2 linked regions of the Lepisosteus oculatus genome follow. The protein of the gene in region 1 interacts with the protein of each later gene in a biochemical or structural test. Links are inferred from orthologs where the notes say so. Each region holds a gene or a part of one and is shown in the gene's direction. Other genes may lie near its edges.

Evidence for each region.
Region 2: the proteins of tnrc6ba (region 1) and ago1 form a complex in vitro, tested with the Homo sapiens proteins (2 studies listed by BioGRID and IntAct). The link is inferred for Lepisosteus oculatus from reciprocal best matches to the Homo sapiens genes TNRC6B and AGO1.

What each region holds. Positions count from the first base shown.
Region 1 is NC_090707.1:38,382,960-38,386,866, forward strand, and holds the start of tnrc6ba (trinucleotide repeat-containing gene 6B protein), read left to right. Parts: upstream 1-1,477; 5' UTR 1,478-1,635; intron 1,636-2,041; coding exon of another isoform or gene 2,042-2,251; intron 2,252-3,907. Other genes in the region: probable endonuclease 4, read right to left, coding at 1,295-1,477, 2,042-2,251.
Region 2 is NC_090706.1:142,529-146,435, reverse strand, and holds the start of ago1 (protein argonaute-1), read left to right. Parts: upstream 1-1,647; 5' UTR 1,648-2,078; coding exon 2,079-2,103; intron 2,104-3,907.

The sequences.
Region 1 (3,907 bases):
GTGTCTGTGTGCACCAGTCAGTGTGTGTGTGAGGGTGTGTCTGTGTGCACCGGTCAGTGTGTGTGTGAGGGTGTGTCTGTGTGCACCGGTCAGTGTGTGTGTGAGGGTGTGTCTGCGCACCAGTCAGTGTGTGTGTGAGGGTGTGTCTGTGCACCGGTCAGTGTGTGTGTGAGGGAGAGTCTGTGCACCGGTCAGTGTGTGTGAGGGAGAGTCTGTGCACCGGTCAGTGTGTGTGAGGGTGTGTCTGTGTGCACCGGTCAGTGTGTGTGCGAGGGTGTGTCTGTGTGCACCAGTCAGTGTGTGTGCGAGGGTGTGTCTGTGTGCACCAGTCAGTGTGTGTGTGAGGGTGTGTCTGTGTGCACCGGTCAGTGTGTGTGTGAGGGTGTGTCTGTGTGCACCGGTCAGTGTGTGTGTGAGGGTGTGTCTGCGCACCAGTCAGTGTGTGTGTGAGGGTGTGTCTGTGCACCGGTCAGTGTGTGTGTGAGGGAGAGTCTGTGCACCGGTCAGTGTGTGTGAGGGAGAGTCTGTGCACCGGTCAGTGTGTGTGAGGGTGTGTCTGTGTGCACCGGTCAGTGTGTGTGTGAGGGTGTGTCTGCGCACCAGTCAGTGTGTGTGTGAGGGTGTGTCTGCGCACCAGTCAGTGTGTGTGTGAGGGTGTGTCTGTGCACCGGTCAGTGTGTGTGTGAGGGTGTGTCTGTGTGCACCGGTCAGTGTGTGTGAGGGTGTGTCTGTGTGCACCGGTCAGTGTGTGTGTGAGGGTGTGTCTGTGCACCGGTCAGTGTGTGTGTGAGGGTGTGTCTGTGTGCACCGGTCAGTGTGTGTGAGGGTGTGTCTGTGTGCACCGGTCAGTGTGTGTGTGAGGGTGTGTCTGCGCACCAGTCAGTGTGTGTGTGAGGGTGTGTCTGCGCACCAGTCAGTGTGTGTGTGAGGGTGTGTCTGTGCACCGGTCAGTGTGTGTGTGAGGGTGTGTCTGTGTGCACCGGTCAGTGTGTGTGAGGGTGTGTCTGTGTGCACCGGTCAGTGTGTGTGTGAGGGTGTGTCTGTGCACCGGTCAGTGTGTGTGTGAGGGTGTGTCTGTGTGCACCGGTCAGTGTGTGTGAGGGTGTGTCTGTGTGCACCGGTCAGTGTGTGTGAGGGTGTGTCTGTGTGCACCGGTCAGTGTGTGTGTGAGGGTGTGTCTGTGTGCACCGGTCAGTGTGTGTGAGGGTGTGTCTGTGTGCACCGGTCAGTGTGTGTGAGGGTGTGTCTGTGTGCACCGGTCAGTGTGTGTGAAGGGTCTGCAGGCCCAGCTCACCCGTCATGACAGCAGGCACCTGGCGGTGGGCGTGGTCTATCGCCTCGGCGATGCGCTGGATGCACTGGTCAGTGGTGATGTCACCCAGGGACGCCCCGGGGTGCAGGTTAAACATGGAGAGGCCCAGCTGAGCACAGCGCGACAGCTCGTCCACCAGCAGGACCCTGCTCTTATCACACACATCTGGACAGAGAGAGAGAGAGACAGGTCACAGCTCTTCACACACAGCTGGACAGAGAGAGAGACAGGTCACAGCTCTTCACACACATCTGGACAGAGAGAGAGAGATCTTTTTGATCTGGCAGCCCAGTATGTGATCTCCTGTCACAGCCTGAGGAACAGTGAGTCCGTCTCCCAATAATGCTCCAGCCGCCTACAGTATATGTCAATATTATATAATATGTCTTTGTTGTAAATGTCTGTAACATGTCTGTAGATTTTATTTTACTTCTATTTTTTGTTTTGTTCTATGTTAATTTTATTATTTTTATTTGCTTTGGCAACACTGATTGTACCTATCGGTCATGCTAATAAAGCACCTTGAATTGAATTGAATTGAATTGAGAGACAGGTCACAGCTCTTCACATACAGCTGGACAGAGAGACAGGTCACAGATCTCACACACATCTGGACAGAGAGAGACAGGTCACAGATCTCACACACAGCTGGACAGAGAGAGAGACAGGTCACAGATCTGGACAGAGAGACACACCAGTAGAGTTGGAATGGGGGCACTGCTCACGCACCTTGCTTGGGCGAGCCACAGTTCATCAGGTAGGAGCCGTGAGGCAGAATGAAGGCGGGCTCGACCCCGTGTTCGCGGCAGGCCTCCCGGAACCTGGCCGCCGCCTTCTCGTCCAGGGGGGGGCGCTGCCACGAGCGCTGGGAGCCCAGGAACATGGCGAAAGAGCGCCCCCCCAAGGACACACACTCCTCCACCGCCTTCCAGATGCCCCCTGCACAGGGCGAGAGGGCGAGAGGCAACGCTTGTGGGCTGAGACCTGCTCACCCCCAAGAGCCCGCCAGGTGTCACCCCTGTCCACAGAGGCCTGAGGAATCCGTCCAAGATCCTGGAAATATCCCGGGCGCGCCTGAGAAGTGTCCTGTCTCTCCCACCCGTGGGTGTGTCTGAGACGTGTCCTGTCTCTCCCACCCGTGGGCGTGTCTGAGAGGTGTCTTGTCTCTCCCACCTGTGGGCGTGTCTGAGACATGTCCGAGACATGTCCTATCTCTCCCACCCGTGGGTGTGTCTGAGACGTGTCCTGTCTCTCCCACCCGTGGGTGTGTCTGAGAAGTGTCCTGTCTCTCCCACCCGTGGGTGTGTCTGAGACATGTCCTATCTCTCCCACCCATGGGCGTGTCTGAGACGTGTCGTCTCTCCCACCCCTGTGCGCGTCTGAGAAGTGTCTTGTCTCTCCCACCCGTGGGCGTGTCTGAGAGGTGTCTTGTCTCTCCCACCCGTGGGCGTGTCTGAGAAGTGTCCTGTCTCTCCCACCCCTGGGCGTGTCTGAGAAGTGTCCTGTCTCTCCCACCCGTGGGCGCGTCTGAGAAGTGTCCTGTCTCTCCCACCCCTGGGCGTGTCTGATATAATGTTGCTATGGATGTAGGGACATGCGAGTCTCCCCACACCTGTGGGCATGGCTGACAGTGCCACTCCTACTATGGGCGTGTCTAATGCAATGCCCCTCCCGTTGAGGGTGTGCCCTAATATAGTCTCATTCCCAGCCATATCTGATTAACTAGCAGGAGCTCTTTAACCGGAAATAAGAGCCAGCAAATTCAGGAACAACTGAGTGACACTCCGTGCACAGTCAGCTGCAAACAGTGAGCTTGAATGTGGGCATTTGGGCATTCAGGACTGACCAAAGAAACAAGCTGAATTCAAGTCCTAACAAGCCAGCAGATCAGTTCGTACCCCAGTTCATGCTGGAATGAGCACCAGCAGTGTTCCTCCAGGACCAGGACACAGAGAACTGGGGTCCAGTCTGCTGGACTCACTGGACGGCCTCAGTCTCAGACTGCCAGCAGACTGGTTGGTCAGCTCATCACTGTTGACCGAGACCACCCTCTGCTCAGATCTGCCCATAAGGGCAGAGCCTGTGGGGGCAGGTGGAGTTTGCCCCAGCTGTGCAGCTGTGTTCATTTTGGGAGCTTTAGTAATGATCTGTAACTGCTGGGGCAGCTTACATGACAATGTCCCAGAGGGCTTTGCAAAACCAGAGCAGGACAACAGCAAAGACACCCGAGACAGGTGTACTCACACGTCCTAGAGACTTTCCCAGAACAGCTCGAGAGAGCACTTGCCCTCCTTTCGTTTGAAGCCTTTCTTATGCTCTTCGATAAACAAAACACTAATAAAAATAACTAAAAGGCGGTTTTAAAGACGGCGTGCGGACATGCTGACAGATGTGCAGACAAGGCAACAGCTGCAGGCAGATCGCCGCTTCTCTGCTGCTTTCCTGGAGATACAGGGACAGGGAACAGTGTCCACGCGACAGAATGTGGAAAAAACACGTTGATTTCGCATTAGCCGCAGGGCGACACAGTCACAGATGCCCGCCCCTACGAAACAAGCACACGACCCACAGGGTGAATTCACATCCGTGGGTGTG
Region 2 (3,907 bases), on another chromosome or scaffold:
GAAAGTAATAAATTGGTATTTTATGCCTAATTCTCTTGATGATCTTTTGTTTTTTTAATGTGCCCTCCCTCGAAATGGATCAGACCCTGTTCTTGCCTGTGTGCTGCATGTTGCTCCGAGCTCCATGTGCCTCAAACTCCAGCAACACGCTTCAGATCTCCAGTGCTCCTTACGCCGTGAACGAATGAGCGGGGTGGTGTCAAAGCTGTTAATGGAGATGTGAAAGGCTTTCAGTTTATGCAGTGTTTCGTACCAAACTGTTATGATACTGTGTCCATCTCCTAGCTTTAGCTTGCTGGATTGAGAGACTGCTGCAGGACCCTTCCTTTTTGAAGTGAGCATCTTTCACAGTAGTGATACAGCTGACAACACCCGGCATCAAAGGGAGCGACGGTGTCGCTGCAAGTCTCTGCACAGGCAGGAGGTCGATGTGGGTCAGAAGTGCTGTTGGCCAGGCCATGACATGACAGGGCTGTCCTGCGGCCCGGGCCTGTGCTCTGCAGCACTGCTGGAGGAGGAAACTGTACTACCAGCTCTCCTGTTACTGTGTGACTGTGCAGCAGTTAGACTACCTGTAAGTGGGGAAGAAATTCTTTCTCTGTTTTGTGTATTTAATAAAAATAAGATGCATTTAAAAACCTTTTCAAGTCCTTGCGGGAAGGGAGTTGTATAGCTATGTTGTTGAGAAGATTTATATCCTTCCCTTTTCTAACAGCTTCTCCAAATTCAGGGTCACAGGGGAGCTGGAGCCTAACCTGTAAGCACAGGGCAGGGTACAGCCTGGACAGGACGACGGCCCATCACAGGACACACACTCACACACTCGCAACAGGACACACTCACTCACTCACTATCTCTCCAGGGCCAGTTTTCCCAGAAGACATTTACCTCACCAACATGCCTCCAGGTGAGAATATTCGCTTTACGTGAAAGTCGTAAATAAACTTGGTGTGAATTTATCCGTGATGACACATCAGTGGGTGTCCCTATGCGCAAGCACTTTCTGACAGGGTGCAAAGTGCTTAAATGTAAACATGAAACTTACCCAGCAAACACACATACTTTCAACCCTGCTTTCATGGACTAGTTTTTTGAAACTTGTTCAATTTTAAAAATGTCAGTCTGCCTGAGCTCTGCTTCTACAGTAAATACCATCCACTTTAAAGCCTAAAATAATTGAAAACACTTAGTTATGCACATATACACTGTGTTACTGGGACTTAGTCTTTCCAGAGCATTTGGCTACTTCCAGAGAGAGATGTTTCTCTGTGTTTCACCTTGAATACTCAGTGATAAATACACAAACACAGAGTTAATTACTTCCTGCGTTGTGCTGGAGCCCAGAAGGACACAGAACAAATCTGAGAGGTGGCTTCCAAGTTTAGCTCTTAGACCAGTTTCCTCCCAGTTCAGCAATCTACTCCAGCAGAAGTACGGTCTCAAGGTTTCTGTTGTGATGGTGAAGTTGATCTCAACTGGCATTGCTGGAATAAAGTACTTCTAATTATTTCAGGCAATAAAAACCGTGTCAGTTTTTACAGACTCGATTAATGACCACTTATTACACAGGAAATACGGCGTGAGCAGTGCTAAGCGTCTGGTGCATCTTTCCCAGAGGCTTTTGAGGGGATAAAAAGGACCAACCTCGTGAAGCGAGCGGGTCGGTCCTCCTCGCCGCCAGAGGGCGCCGACAGCAGCGTGTCAAACGCCCCTGCCGCCTGTCTTTTAAGGAATGAGCTGTGCTGCGGGTTGGCGTGTCTTTGTTCCGCTGTGGAGTCCGGAGCGAGCGGAGAGCGGTCAGCCCGCAGAGCCCAGCCGGGACGCAGCTGAGCAGGGAGGCCGGGACGGCAGCGCCAGCCTCCTCGGAGCATCCCGAGATCTGCGGACGCGCATCGCCCAGCCGGCGGGGTATCGGCACCTCCAGGCGCCCGTCTCGGCTGGGGGTCCGATCGGGGACCGGGGTCCGGGGAGCCCACCAGCAGGTTGGGAACAAGGATACGGAGCCGTCGGCGGTGCAGCCGGGGGATCTGTGAGGAAGACCGGGACTTTCCTAGGATCGGCTCCGCAGAGTGAATGGGATGGAACCGGGGCCATCTGGAGCAGGTGAGCCGCTTAGACGGGGTCCAGCGGGACCGTGCGGGCAGCTCCGGGTTCGGCGGGGGAGACTGGACCTGCAGGCGGAGCCCCCGACCCTGACGGGCCGAGAAAGCGGCCAGACTGGTTCGTGTGCCCTAGACTGGGGGGAGGTTGCTGGTCCGGGCAGGGTGACAATGGGAATGCTAATTCGGGGGCAGGAAGGCTGGGGTCACATGCGGGGGCGGGGGTCATGCAGCTGAGGAGACTCGGGTCCGACCCGCGCTCTGCACACGCGAGTCAGGTGAGAGGGGCGTGTCGCGAAGTTCGCACGCTGGAGCGGCAGACCTGACAACTTCCAGCGCTGTGGGCAGAGGGTCTGGGCGCCGCGGTGAGGCAGGTCAGGTCCGTGGAGAGCGGGTCTCCGGCGCTCCTGGCTGGTTAACTGCGGGAATCAGGCTCGTCGGCAGCTCAGATCGGATGACAGAGCCGATGCCTCCCAGGGTAGCACTGGCAGAGCTCAAATCTAACTTTCACTGGTTCACACCTTTCTCTGTTCCTACTTATCAGTGATGTTTTTCCATGTCGTGGCTTGACGTTCTCTGCCCTGGCTTCTGTCCGGCTGGGCAGTGTGGTGTGTCCTGTGCCCACAGGGGTGTGTGCTGCAGGCTGCCCAGCGAGCGTCACCAGGGCTCTGGCTCTGTGGTCTGTAGACCAGTGTAAGTGCCGATGGGCACTAGTGGACACAGGTCTGCTGCTGTGTGTGAGGTAGACGTGCCCTGGGAGTGATGTCAGACGCCTGCCTCGCTGCTTCAGCTGTTAAAATGTGTTCTGCAGCTCAGGTCACGCACATGACGGGGTTCACCCCAGAGCTCACTGCTTCCCTACGTTTGCTCTGAGTCTCACACTTCACCTGGTGTTTCTGGCTGCTGGAACATGCTACATGGTGTCCGGGGTTGTTGCAGAGCCCATGTTTCTGTCCTTATTGCTTTCTCGCTGGCTGTTCCCAGGGTGGTGTTGGACAGAATGCTACGGAGAAACGAAACATCTTATTTCTTGTCACAGCTGAAACACAGTTTCTGTGCCAGTTTCCCTCTCTTGTCCTCGTTGATTTTCATTCCTCCTGGCCTGTTCAGTACTGAATCGGTTTGATTGGCTGGGTTAGACTGGTCCAGATGAGCCCAGTTCTGCTGGTGCTGGGAACTGCTGGACACTGTGCTGTTTTGTCCCTGTGAGACAGATGAGGCCTGAGCCGGTGGTCCTGCTCGCTGCTCTGGTCCCCCCGAACTGCCTGAACGGCCACTGCCACCTGGTCTGCAGTCATGGGGGAACCCCGGGTCCCCAGAAAGCTGCAGGTCTGTGCTGCTGTGTTTGCCAGTGTGAGTCACTGACCTGCGCTTTGGTGGAGTCCCTGTGATCCCAGCTCCCCGGCGACAGGGGGTCCTGGTTGGGGGAGAGCAGGTTGTTGGGACAGAGCCGCTGTCTGGCACGCTGGCGCTGTCTGTCGGGTCTGTGGCTGCTGTGTCTCCGCGTCCCTCTGCCAGCTGGCTGTGTGGCTAATTGCTGAAAGGAGGTGTGAGGGACAGGACCTGTGTGTGTGTGTTCTGGCAGGCTCTGCCCCCTCCCCGGGCCCCCGAATCTCCATGACAATGGGCGTCTCCATGCGTCTCCATGGAGCGGCCAGGAATGTGGCGGGGGGCCGGCCGGCTGACCCGAGCAGCTCTCTCTCAGGCACAGAGATGGCGTTGCGCTGCCGGGCGGCAGTGTGCCAGCCCCTCCAGGCGGAGATCTTCCTCGGCCTCCTTCAGGCACACCCTGACGCTTTTATCTCCAG